Linked DNA regions of Lytechinus pictus. Each later gene encodes a partner of the first gene's protein in a complex. Links are inferred from orthologs where the notes say so. Each region holds a gene or a part of one and is shown on either strand. Other genes may lie near its edges.

The links.
Region 2: the proteins of integrator complex subunit 9-like (region 1) and integrator complex subunit 11-like are in contact, whole or in part, in a cryo-EM structure (PDB 7SN8), measured with the Drosophila melanogaster proteins. The link is inferred for Lytechinus pictus from reciprocal best matches to the Drosophila melanogaster genes IntS9 and IntS11. Residues at the interface, in NP_648838.3 of Drosophila melanogaster: Glu128, Tyr198, Asp199, Glu200, Lys201, His230, Asp333, Ser334, Ala337, Tyr338, Asn340, Ile341, Glu344, Gln351, Val354, Tyr355, Leu356, Pro357, Asp358, Asp359, Pro360, Arg509, Lys510, Leu511, Asp512, Arg513, Ile514, Tyr515, Ile516, Ser518; in NP_651721.1 of Drosophila melanogaster: His94, Lys97, Ala98, Pro135, Thr137, His139, Gln140, Ser141, Glu149, Lys151, Lys274, Thr277, Tyr278, Lys280, Met281, Phe282, Ile283, Thr284, Trp285, Phe294, Val295, His296, Val450, Lys451, Ile452, Pro453, Val454, Asp455, Ala456, Ser457.

Annotation. Positions count from the first base shown.
Region 1 is NC_087245.1:1,541,251-1,548,262, reverse strand, and holds the start of integrator complex subunit 9-like, read right to left. Parts: upstream 3,106-7,012; 5' UTR 2,626-3,105; coding exon 2,617-2,625; intron 1-2,616. Other genes in the region: tRNA-specific adenosine deaminase 2-like, read left to right, coding at 5,140-5,196, 5,397-5,501, 6,538-6,688. UniProt on the Drosophila melanogaster protein: Component of the integrator complex, a multiprotein complex that terminates RNA polymerase II (Pol II) transcription in the promoter-proximal region of genes.
Region 2 is NC_087250.1:18,424,727-18,431,914, reverse strand, and holds the start of integrator complex subunit 11-like, read right to left. Parts: upstream 3,047-7,188; 5' UTR 2,927-3,046; coding exon 2,899-2,926; intron 1,816-2,898; coding exon 1,718-1,815; intron 1,203-1,717; coding exon 1,129-1,202; intron 127-1,128; coding exon 15-126; intron 1-14. Other genes in the region: serine/threonine-protein kinase greatwall-like, read left to right, coding at 5,591-5,656. UniProt on the Drosophila melanogaster protein: RNA endonuclease component of the integrator complex, a multiprotein complex that terminates RNA polymerase II (Pol II) transcription in the promoter-proximal region of genes.

The sequences.
Region 1 (7,012 bases):
ATTTTCATACATATTATAAACAACACTAATAATCTTCCCATTGATACCACATGAAATCAACTTCGACCAGAGACTAGATCTGTCAACAAGGTCAAAGGCTTTTCTGTAGTCAATAAAGGCACAGTAAATTCTCTTCGCATCGTGTAGATACAAATCGATCAAACCATGTAATGTAAATATGTGATCAAGGGTACTATGACTTTCTCTAAACCCTGCCTGCTCATTGCCTAAAATTCCTGCACATTCCAAATAATTGGAAAGCCTAGAGTTAATACAAGCAGTGAACAATTTACCTACACAACTCAACAAAGTCATTGAAGAATGGACTAGGATATTAGACGATAGCCAACCTATTGATGTTTTATATCTAGACTTTAAGAAGGCTTTTGATGCAGTACCTCATGAAAGACTTTTATTGAAGCTGAAAGCTTATGGAATTGAGAACCCTCTTCTTGCCTGGATTAGTGCCTTCCTGAAAGGCAGAAAGCAAAGAGTGGCTATAAATGGAGTGACATCATCTTGGACAGATGTTAAGAGTGGTATACCGCAAGGGAGTATCCTCGGGCCAATCCTATTTGTCATTTTTATTAATGATTTGCCTAGTGACATAAACTCCAGGATCTTACTCTTTGCGGATGATACTAAGATGTACAGAGCAGTAGGGAATGATGAAGAATCCAAGGCCTTACAGGCAGACCTGTCCAAACTTACCATGTGGGCTGAAAAATGGCAACTTCCTTTCAACCAGAATAAGTGTACAGTTCTTCACTTTGGGAGAAATAACAAGAAAGATAAATATCACATGAATGGAGATGAAGTTGCCTCATCTACCAGAGAAAAGGACCTGGGAGTATTGATTGACTCGGAACTCAAATTTCATGAGCATATATCAATGGAAGTAAGCAAAGCCTATCAGCTCCTTGGTATCATCAGACGGACTTTCACTCAACTGGACACAAGGACCCTACCAATTTTGTTTAAGACATTGGTAAGACCACACCTAGAGTATGGCAACATCTTGTGGAACACTCAATGGAAAGAAGATGCGGATAAAATTGAGAAAGTCCAGAGAAGAGCAACTAAGATGGTGCAGGAGATAAAAGAACTCCCCTACTCAGATAGATTAAAAGTATTGGACTTACACTCCCTGTATTATAGAAGAAGGAGAGGCGATGCCATTATGGTATTTAAAATACTGAAAGGAATGGTCAAGATGGACTCAAGTCACTTTTTCTTGCCATCAACTAATTCTAGGGACAGTGATTTTCCGCGATCGCGGAAAACGGACGGAATTCACGGAAAGGGCCTTTTGAAACGGAAAGTGGCATTTCAAACGGAAAATCACGGAAAACGTATTTTCCCTAAAAATACACAGAATAGCAACAGAAATTACTCCGAAATCACAACAAAATGAGAATATTAAATGGCCACAAAACCCCAGAAAACACGATCTCACTTCGCTACTATCATGACAATTCACACGTCGTGACTGCACTCGACATCACCACACTCGATTGTACCCCGCACCGTAGCCGTACCCGGCGCCCGGCCGGCCGGGTTGGGCTTCACATGCACACATATCGTTCAACTACACGGTTGTGTGTTGCTGCCCTCTACCTTAGAAGATGTAACAGCACGATATCGTGGTCTTAAAATCCAAGATGGCGGATTGGCAAAAGCCGTTTACTGATGATAACGATGTCCAAAAAACCCCAAAATTATCGATGAAATATCATTTCATCGTGAAATAATGCTAATGATGTGAAAGGTGAGGATGTATGCATGCTAAATGGGTTTGTAAAAATATTTTATGCACCCGCATAGATCCGATTAGAACAGATTCTATTGTGTTGTTGGTACAGGCTAGTAGCAGATACAAATTTTGACCAGTGCGAGTGTACGTGTTGTGATTTTGCTATTCAATGTGTAAACGGAATTGTCACTTTTCCGTGTGTACAAAGTCTATGGGGAAACAGAATTTACGTTTTCTGACATGCTGAAACGGAATTTGAGATTTTCTGAAACGGAAAAGGCAATTTTTTGAAACGGAAAATCACTGTCCCTATAATTCACATCTTCGAGGTCATACGTTAAAGATATTTAAAGAACGATCAAGACTCGACATACGCAAATGCGTTTTTACTAGTAACCGGGTAGTGAATGACTGGAATAGCCTCCCCCAAGAAGTTATTTGACTCAGGCTCCATCGATGTATTCAAATTAAGACTCGATAAGTTTTGGTGGTCTGAGCGTTTCAATCTCCAAGTCCAAATGATCAAAACCGTCTCTACCCTACACGTGTGCAAGTTTTTGTTCTTATGACTTATGACGTAATAACACATCGTATGGAGATGGACTGCAATTTTCAGATGAAGAGATCGAGGTCAACAGGATTACCTCACCTCGTAACATGATGATGATGATGATGAATTATCAGGATCATCCACTGAACCTTTGAATCTGCTGGATTAACATAGCCCCACATGCTAGCATTCATGTTGTTGTTTGTGTGAATGATTGATAGCTGACTGATCATTAATTGGCTGTAACTAATAGACACACAAACACACACTTCAACAATAACATAACGGCAGGAGGTCGGATAGGTTTTCTTACCAATTTCATTCTGGCTATTCCGGCTTCTTATATAAAATGCAGGATATTCTTGCAGTGTTTTCTTTTGCTCGCCTCAGCTCAGTTCAGATGGGTATACCGTTCAGATGGTATGGTACGGTATCCTCGCGATAATAAAATACGGAAGAAATTAAGGACGGGCGCGATCGATCGCGAGACGAGTGTGGTTGCGGGGGATCCCTCGCCCGCGCCCCCGGCCCGGGTAACGCTAGGTACAGGTACCGGTACCGTACTTAAACCGCGCCTGCGCCTGTACCAGGTACTGTTGCCGCGGCCGGTCAACCAGACGCCATATGCACCTCATGTCATGTACTTATCAGCGGTTGTCCGCGGGTTGGTTATTGACTACGGTACATTACATGTACCAGTTGGAGATTCTCTTAACGAGTATTTTTAATCAGATTTACCGGTATCTGAGCCTGATCTGAGGCAGTGGGTCGTTACGTCAGCAGCAAGACGCCAAGACTCAAGAGTGACAGATAGGCATGATACTTGATAGGTGCGAGGAGGGTAAACTTTTAATTTTGGATTAAGGTAAGTGGCAAGGCAAGGATGATCGAGAGATTGAGCCGAGGTTTCACTAATTGTGAAATCTCAGTCAGGCTCAGCTCAATCTCTCGATCAGCATCCATGCCTTGCCACTAGTGTCTAGTATAGTCTAGACTAGACAGCTGCTGAGCTGGCAGGCATCTGTTTCGAGGAGTTTTTTAACATTTTTTTTTTAATGTCTCCTCGTACACAGACGGCTCGCTTAGCCTGGACTGGAGTGGAGGCTTCTGGGGAGTAAAAGTCATCTACTATACGTAGGCTGGAGTAAGCCTACGACTTCCGTATAGTAGATGACTTTTACTCCCCAGAAAACTAGCCTCCAGGACCAGAGTCCAGGCTAGGCTCGCTATCGTGCAGCCACGCATAGGCCCTAGGGGTTAACAATGCAAAATCCCCCCGACGGGGCTCATCGATTTTTGTCTTTATTTCATAAAAATATATAAAAAGAACTGTACCAAAATAAAGATTATTATATTATTCTGTTTTGGCCTGAAATGCACCAAAATGGGGAAAAAACTTCAAAGGGGGAAACACAGTGACTTACTTTGGCTGTCGCGCAACTTCATTTCCCAGTTTTATCCGAACTTAATACATAAACATATGGCCATCGAGTCCCTGTACAGATTGAGCTAGAACTTCGGTCTCTGTATTTGGTGAGTGGAGCCAACGAGTTCAGCGGAACAACCAACATAACATTAACAGAGACCGAAGCTTTTGGTCTAAGTCTAGACACTAGCCAGGCATCTAGCATGTCTAACATTAGGCCTAGATCTACACTGGATACAGAAAGAGACATCAAACTCAAAGTCCTTAACATTTATTTTAAGATTTCCTCTTGCAAATGATTCGAACTGTGTCTGGTTAACCTTTTGAAGAAATATGAGCAGTAGAGGCGCATGGCTGATATTTGAGTCTTTCTCCAATTTTGGAGACAATCTCTGATATTGGAGACATGCTTTGCAAAAGAGATAGGCAACAACACTGAACTAGAAAGTTAATTCCCCTCCAAAATTTGCAGCTAGGTCAAAACCACATGATAACAAAATATAAATGAAAACAAAAGTAGATGGAGAATTCTTGAGCATATATGGTTAAGAGGAGTAATTTTGCCACCATGGTAATCCCTCTGACGCAAATGTTAAACAGAAAAAATCTTGCATAGTGGAGACTGGCTCTTAAAGGGATGGTCCTGGCTGGAAATATATCTCGATAAAGTAGAGTAATATTCACAGAGCAAAATGCTGACAATTTTATCAAAATCGGATAACAAATAACAAAACTATTGAATTTTAAAGATTTGCATTATTCCGGTGAAACAGTTATAGGCATGTCTTTATGAATATTCATTAGGTGGGCTGATGATGTCATATCCCCACTTGTTCGTTTGTATTTTATTATATATGAAATTTGGTTTATTCAAATTTTTTCTACCAAAAACTAAAACAATTGAATTGACAACTGATTAAGTGCATTAGTTATTTATTGCCGCAACTTATTTCATAATGCAGAAATATCATTTACACATGTATGAAAAAATGAAACATTTATGATTTCATGTAATAACATAAGAAAAAGGAAAGTGGGGATGTGACATAATCAGCCCACCAAATGAATATTCATGACGATGTGCGTATAACTGTTTTCACAAAATATGGATAAACTTTAAAATTCAATAACTTCATTATTTGTTTTCCAATTTTAATCTTATTTTCAGCATTTTGCTCTGTGAATTTTACTCTTTTTATTTAGATATATAAATATTTTCAGCCCGGACCATCCCTTTAAATTGAATACTGATGTACAGGATATAATCTCCAGAATGGGAGAGAGTCTCCAACATTGGCCGTATGCCTCTACTGAGCTTCAAAGTTCAATAATATTAGTAAAATAATATTGATATTTAACTTGTAGATGAAAAGAAACAATTTAAATTATCATCTTTTTTTATTACAGACCATGGAACTGTATGACGAAGCTTATGATGAAAAATGGATGAAGCAAGCAGTGTGCATGGTTTGTATCCAATTACTATGGGACTGAAAATGAATGGTTACATATTTTTAAAAAGTTCTGTTAGTGATGTTAATAACACTCAGAAACCCTAACTACCATGTCTACTCTTTAGATTGCTTGTAATAGATGTAGCAAAATGTTTTGTAGTGAACAATGGTCAGTTCCCTATGAGAAATTAAGATATGTTTTCTTTTGTGCAGGGTAAGCAGGCCCTAAGTAGAGGAGAGGTCCCAGTAGGTTGTCTCCTTGTGTATAATGATCAGATCATAGGGACAGGAGGAAATGCTGTCAACCAAACCAAAAATGTAAGTTATACTGCTTATTACACACTTTGAAGCTGCAGAAAAGATAAAACTTTGTACTAAGGGATCAGAGCACTATATTATTGATGTCATTTTGCACCTCTTGCAGTCTGCACCTCAGGGTGCAAAGTTTGAATCTTAATTTATTAGTAAGCAGTACTACCACATCCTATCCATATATTGACATGAAAAGTCCATCATTGTAGCTGAAACCAGGGCGTCCCTGCTGAAACTCAGATAAGAATTCCCATGATTGATACACTCCAGGTCTCATATCAGGTCTCAGAGATAATGTGACTCAGTTTGGATAAGTCTCCCGACTTTGAACCACAAAGTCTGGGGTTCGAATCCCACCGCAGCACTCGCGTCCTTTGGCAAGGCATTTATCTACATTTGCCAATCTCCACCCAGGAGTAGTAAATAGGTACCCAGCAGGAAGGAATTCTGTGAATGCTTGAGCGTCCGATCCGCAGGGTAGCCATGCTAAAGCCGGGGTAATAGTATGCAGCACTTACAAACCAAGATCATGAGATTCACAAACCTTTCAAATACTCTACTGTGGAACAAGATGTGTCTAATTTTGAGCAATTTAAAAAGATAAAATAAAATCAATGCCTTGTACTTTATTGAGATTTGTATCAAACCTTTCTGTACATCTTTATTCAATTCATTTTACTCAACATACATGTAATATTAGATTGCTTTAATATTGATTCATATACCGATAATCAATGAATTTTGGATTGAATTGCTCTTGTAGATTATAACTTTGTATTGAAAAAGGAAAATACTTATCATAGGTCAGTTTATCCATGTTTTGAAAAAGAAAGTACAACAGCTTTACAGGGTTTCCCCCAAATTTGAAAAAATGCTCTGTATACAGGCGTATTGATTATGAATTTTCAAGTTATTGCAGAATTTTTGAAAAACAGAACAAGTAAATCTGTCTTAATGGTCATTTTAGTTAAATTTTTGCTTTTGTAGATTGTATGTTACTTACACCTCTCATTTCAATAACGTTCATTCTACTGCACTGTAGGCCACAAGACATGCCGAAATCTTAGCTTTAGAAGAAGCAATGAGATGGTGTGAAGACAAACAGATGAAGAGAGAAGAGGTCTTCTCACATACCAAACTATTTGTGACAGTAGAACCCTGTATCATGTGTGCTGGGGCTCTGCGTATCATGGGTGAGTTTCATTCTCATAGAAAAGGCTTCATACTCTTGGGTTGGGTTGACAAATCTTGACTGCAGTATTTGTTCTTATAATCTCGTTGTTGAATTTGATCAGCTAGCCTTTTGTATGAAACTGTTGTCTAATAATGGGGATTCGGTAGTAGACATTGATATGGTAGTTGTACTCTTGGATCTTGCCACTTTCTGCATTTGCCATCAGAATGTGAAGCTTGTTCTGCCAAGGTGTTTTTCATTTTTTAAATTTAGGGTATTTATATTGTGCACATGCTTAAAGCACTGTTAACCCTGCTATTCTAGGCTACTGATTTTGGTCTTC
Region 2 (7,188 bases), on another chromosome or scaffold:
GCATGCACACTTACGAGGAGTATGGGGCAGATAGCCTTGGTGGGCTGTGTCATGTATATGGGTCCATCGTAGCCGACAATCTCAGACATGTGAGGGAGGGCTCCGCAGTGATCAAGATGAAAATGGCTGGGGATGGAAAAAACATGAAAAGCAATTTATTTGGAGAACAATATTTATTATGAAGAAATGTGATACTAAGAGATATATGCATGGCTGCTTGTATTTGTTTGGCATCTCTTGTGCCCGGGAGGTGAAAAGCAAACTGAATCAAAGTGACCCGCAGGTCTCTCCTCTCGATATAACTGGTTGGGGGGAGTGCAGGTGGACCACTACAGGTTTCCCCTTACTCTATACAAAACGTGCAGTGGGGTCTTAACGTGCAAAAGTGGCGACTCTCCTTTACACGGGGCCTCCATTTAACATGCTATCCGAGGGATGGAGTGTTTTCCACTGTAACATAGCCTGCATCTATGGAACAGGGGAGCGATGTTTACACACAACGCAGTCATCCGCACAGGGTAGACTTGAATCCACCACGACCTTTGGTTCGACATTACCAACTGAACCAACTTCACGTTTATATAGTGCATAAAACTTTGCGTTTCTAAGCACTTTACATTGGAATTATTTTCAACGTGGTCATCGGACCCTGGCATGCCTGCAAACAATGTACCGGTAAGCACTTTTCAACTCCCTGAGAGCATTCCAACAAGACAAGAGTTCCAAGACTCAACTGCAAGGCATATTGCATAGGCTTTCACATAAACCTGGGTGGAGTGTGGGAAAGTCTGAATTAACATCTTGCCAAAGGACATTAGGCCATGGTGGGATTCGAACACATGACAATGATTACAAGGTGAGAGTCAGAAAGGTCACACCACAACGCTTCCATGCGACAGTGTAATAATTAAAGTGGCCACCCATTTTTGCCCATGCTGTCTAGTTCTTAGATACACTCCCCCAAAACATGTACTAATCCTTAGAGAAGTGAATAAACACTTAAATATGTTACTCATGAGAAACAAATAAACAGGTATGCAGAAATAAAACAAATAAATTAATAAATCAACTAATAATTGAATAAACCAAAAAAGATCATTTGAAATATTCCAAGAACTATTCAAATACCTAATGATAACTGCATCAAGATGGTCTGTCAATCCACCATTTTTGTTGATGTAGGAGAAGTCTGGAAATCTTCTCTGTTGGGAAAAAAAGGGTAAAAACACACATTCAAAATTAGATATTGTGGCAGGTCATCAGAAGAACAGAGTATTGAGATTTACAACAGAGTAAGTTTGGAAAGAATATGCGGAAATATATGAAAATGGAAATGTTTTGAAGAGGAGGAAGAACAAGAAGGAAAAAGATGGTTAAGAATTTTTTTTTTCAAGAGAGAAAGAGGGAAAGTGGAAATTTATACTAAAAGACAACAATGACCAAAAAGTCCCTTTTTTATAATCAAACATACCCATGTGGAGTAATAAGAACAAATATAAAAGAATAACAGAAATGGAAATATCAAAATCAAGGAAAGAAGCCAACACGAGAACAAGAAAAGAAAATGAGGACAAATAAGAAAAGATACAGGAAAACAGGAGAAGGAATGACATGACTGATAAAAAGAGGTGGAAGAAGAGGAGGGAGAGGGAGGAGGGAAGAGGAAGAAGAGGAAGAAGAAGAAAAAGAGGAGGATGGGGAAAGGAGGTATACTCACTTCATCGTTGAAGCCCATATGCATCCCACAATCCAGCATGATATTCTTACTTCCTATCGTCAGAAGAATACAGCTCCGTCCAACATCCTGACCAGCCCCTTTCAAAATGAATGTCAAATCATACAATCACTTATTCTACTAGCATTGCCAACTCAAACTGGGAATCATGTATTTGTAGTCAACATGTTAAAAGGATATATTCTAAACTCTTTGGAGTCTTGCTTCCATATCTTATTGTTTAAATGATTTTTATAGCAACACAAAACATCATCTGGGTCCCGTCACACAAAAGTCAGTGATCAATCATACGCTTGATTTTTACGACTGACTGGCCATTGTAGTCAATGCAATCAATTGTTAAAAATGTTCTACGACCATTGCTAATACAGCTAAGGCTAAGCTTTGTGTTACAGGCCCCTGGACAAGATTGCAAGTGGGAACAGCTCCAGCAGACTTGACTTGGAAAGCTTAAATGACATTGAGCTGGCCGCCTTGCCTTGTCTTTCCGTTAATGCCCACAATCATTATATTGATTAATATGGCATATGAACGTCAAGATTGACTTGGCCTCAATCAACGGAACACTTTTTGGATTGTATTTGTAATTTGTTCCATCTTTTAAGCAGATTTGCACAGAGGATCGTCAGTTTTAATTGTCACTTTAAGATTAGTTTATAACCAAATTCCCCCCCTAAAAAAAAAAAAAAAAAACAATGCTGATAAAACAAATTTGCAAAAATAATTCCCTGAAAAAAGATGCCTGGCCTGCCTTGGCTTGAAGCCTTGAGGCCATTGAGGGGCCTGAGAGAACTATACTAATAGAACAGTAGAAAAAAATATCCTATAAGTATAAATTCCTATTCCTAATTGAATTCATTTATCAAATTGCGAAAAAACTAAATAATTAATGGCATTAGTGACGCTGATTCATTAGTAGCTACCACCACCAAAGAATCACTAAAATCCTGCAAATCATTGACAGTGTCGTATGATCAACTTGTCAAGCTCAGCTCATACACGCGTGCAGTCTGTCATTGTGAATGACAATGTTGATCTATTATAATTTATAACAAACATGGATGACAATACATGGGACTGTCAACGAAATAATCGGCAAAGTAACACGGTAAAAAACATTACTATCAATCAAATATAAACACATAGGCTCATAATATACAAACCTAAGGGAACTATCCTTATATCTGTCATCTTGAGGTGAAAATAGCATCAATCCGTGGAGAAATGGGTAGTCTAAATCCTTCGAAAATAAAGTTAGCGCTTCATCAGTTCAACTAGTTCATGCCAATGATCAGTGCGTAGTCTACGTCTACGAGCTGCTTGAACAGACTCGAATCAAATACGATTTCATGTCTGATCGAGTCTCATAATTATGCACTCCCTTCTTCTCCAAAACTCTCTTTCTCTATAAAAAGAGGCAACAACAGTACATTGTAAATCTAGTCTCACTACTTCAGACTCTGCTTTATTATGCACTACTCGTAATCGAATAGAGAAATAAAAAAGGTCTGGGCCTAACAACCCGGCCTACCCCCCCCCCCTCCATGCACCCCTCCTCATGTTAGGGAACGGTTTTTTACGGGGGAAAAATGACAAGCAAAAATAAAGATTATCACTCTAAGATCAAAATGTGTGGTTTTTTTTTTTGGGGGGGGGGTCAAGTTTCTACATTTTAGTACACCAATCTGATTTCCAGGGGAATGGCTGATAGCTGCTTCGGCACACCATTTTAGTCACCCCCCCCCCCCCCCGGGCACCCCCGCTTCCAAGGGCCAGGCCCCTCCCCCCCAAAAAAAGTTCAAACTTAGCCGCTATTCTCAAACCGCTTTCCCTTTAAAAATCTGATGATTAAAAAAGCTCATTAGCGTTTCCTGAAGTATATATCGCCTGTTATCAGATTTTCCCAATTTTTTTTTTTTTTTTTTTTTTGGGGGGGGGGGGTAATTTACTTCAAGATTAATCTTAATCTTAATTAATTTTTACATTTCTAAAATGTGTCAATCGTATAGGCCTACCTCACTAATAATAGGCCTACCTGAATCAGCATTCGATATCCCTTATGGCAATGTTTAAGCAGTGCTTAGATTAATCCATAATAAGGCCACCAATTAGGCTATGATCTCGGATGCTCTAATTGGCCTCAATGCTCGTCTCATAGGCCTTAAATATTTTTGTCACCTTTTAAATTTTCCCATTTGTGCTATATATATAGGCTTTATCGGCGAGATAGAAATTATTGCCCATCACCGTATGAAAGGGTGAGGGAGCAACACGCTCTAAAAGGGTCGAAAGGGGACAGCATTTGGTGGAAAGTGCTGTCACTCCTCATCCGGTCATCCATTCCTCCATCCTCAAGTTTGCCTTTTGTGTTTTTAAAGAATGCTGCACTCGACCCAGGTGAGGTGAATGGGTATACCCGGCAGGACTAATTCCTTGAATGCTTGAGCGCTATATAGACAGCTCAGCTAAAGCCGGGGTAATAATAGCAGGGCCCGCTGGGCCCAGTTTTCGGAACTGAAGTGGCTACCCTGGGTAAATAATATACCGCTATTATTGTTGTTATTGTTAAGAAAAGATTGAAAAATCAAGGAATCAAAACATTTCAGCGGCGGTGCAATTATTCAGATAATAATACCTTTAAAAAAATAGTGTTAATCCGACGTCCTAAAAATAATGATTTTTTTTAACAATGTTTCATTATGAAATTAATTGGCACGCCGCTTGTCAAATAGGTGTATCGATATAACAATACAAAATTGATAATAAAAATAACAAAGGAAGATCGACAAATAGCTATAACAAGGTAACCCCCCCCCCCCGTCATATCATTCACGGAACTAAAATCTATGATTAATCACAATAGTTTGAGGGATAACCATAATCGTCTGGTACTGAAATGCTGGGCTATCCTATATTTTTTTCTCAATAAAAACCTGTCCCCCCCAAAAAAAAGATCTGACCCAGCGTCGAGTCTAGCTATTTGTTATAATTGGGGAAAAAGAGGCAGGAACGGATCAATTTTTTCCAAAAGGGGGTATTTTCGTTCAGAAAAATCCAACAAGTAAATACAAAAAATATCTTCATATATTTTTATGGCTCCCCAATCTCAGTGCAACTAAGTTTAGCCTATGGAAAGGTAAATAAAGATTGAGAAAGGTAATAAAGAAAGAAATGAAAAGTAGGCATCAAGGGCAAGTTCCACGGAATGAAATAGGCTAAATAATACATGAAATACGACAAAGCGACTTCTCTTTTTTTTAAACAATGGTACAAAATCCAAAATGTATTGATTATATTATTGAAGAAAGCAAAAATATTGTCTCATTTTACAGGTACACTAGATGCGGATCCAGAGTTGAAATTTTTGGTGTGCTACAGGGTCCAGGATTTTTTCAAAAAGGGGTGCCATATTTTACCCGTTGAAAATTTGACAAGCAAAATACCTAATAAAAAATGTTGTCCCCTAAATTTAAGGTCAATATTATTCGTCCGCCCAAGTATAACTAACAAGCAAAAAAAAAGAAAAAAAAAAAGAAAAGGTTTTGGATATGTAAGGTCAATTTGCCTCTCTCTTTTTCAAATCCTACGGGGGGGGGGGGCTCGTGTGCCTTCAGCCCCCCCCCCCCCGGATCCGTGCCTGTACATGTTGTACAGTATGCACATCATACAATTTTTTTATTTTCTGAGATAGGGATTTATAGAATCACAGAAATACAATACTTCGTTGATTACAAGGCCGGCCCTATAGGGCCTTGGTACACGCCCTCTCTCGATCGAGGAAGACAGAACAAATAAAAAAAAACACGGCCACTAAAGCAGCGGTAAACTTGAAAACCCGCAACAATAGAGAGAAAAATGACCAATATGTTGTCACCATCATCGTCAAATATAAATTCTGAGTTGACCAAGACAGATTCCCAGGTATGTATGCCACTTTCATGCTATGAAATGCTTTTAAAAGGTTGTTTATAATTATGTATGGATGCATGAGAAACAAGTTCGGTCCCATGCGTTGTGAAACGTGTGGCTGGCTGGGTGGCCAGTTTTTTTTTTTTAATGAAATTACCTGCAAGACCTATTTTATTCCTATTTTTAAAAATATCATTAACAGTTCTATAATCAGATAATGCTCAGACTCAAGTCTCAAGACAAATTTGTTAATGATCTTAAATCACGTTTGGTAACAGTTTCCGAGTCCGACTCCAAGTCAAAGAACGCAAAAAAAATAATAATTCGAAGACAGTCGTAAAACTAAAAGTCACTAAAACTTCAAATGCGAGCGATCGTGCGGACAGAGCGCTGAACGTACATTTTCGCATTGCAGTGAATGGGGAGCACATGACTAACACACACGGTTCGCTCCGCTCGGCACTTCGGCTGAGTGCTGGAGTTGCATTTGGAATTGCTCAATAAAACAGTCAGTTTCTTCCTTTACCAGTAGAGGCGCACGGCCAATATGGGAGACTCTCTCCAATAGGGGAGACAATCTCCCACATTGGAGACTTGCTTTGCAAAAGGACAAAAGAAACAACACCAACAAAAGCATGATTTTTTCCACCCAAAATTTTGTCTCGCTGAGGTCAGAAGCCCATTTGTTTTGTGTGTGATTGACAACAAAAATCCTTATCAAAACAAAAGTAGACGGTGAATTTTTAAAGTAGACGGTGAAAAGGGGTAATTTTTCATGAGGAATCTGCTTATCACATTTTTATTTGCCGCCAAGTTAATCCTTTTGCAGCAAATGTAAACAAAGGAAATTGGACTCCAAAACTGGAGACTGTCTCTGAAATTGGATACCCAAATTCTTTACAAAAGTCTCTGATATTGGAGATAATCTCCCACATTGGAGACAGTCTCAAATATTGGCCGTGCGCCTCTACTGTTTACTCTGCTGATTTTGATTGGTCAAAAATTCCCGTGGTTGCTTTGTACACCTTTGGCAAATATCGATAATAAACAACACTGAGTTTCACTTACCATAATGGGATGGAAGGACCTAATATTAAGGTATAAATTTTTCTTTGCTTGAAGTTGAAATCACCCCGTAATCATCGGATCTTATTGAAACTCGGTAGGCCCTAAGTTAATGAAATTGAATATTTGAGAACATTTTGTGAAAGTTGAATTGAATTTGGTTCGTAAAGAGCCAGCGGAAATGAACTTCAATTTTGAGTGTTGTTAGGCGTTTGTGAATCTGACTCGCTGATCGAGAAGGGTTGTTTTGAGCGTATACGAACAGCTGTGAGTGATGCCATCCCCGCTGCGATGGGCTCGAGATTAGTCTCGGTATTCAGACACAGTATGTTTCAGCCGTTGTATAGTTTTTTTAATTACAATTTGAGCTCTGTTAATTATGAAATTTAAATTGTTATTTTGAAAATAATTTTGTAGAATTTGTGCAAAATAAGTATTAAGAGAGGACGGGGGGGGGGGGGGGGGTAATTGTTCAGGGG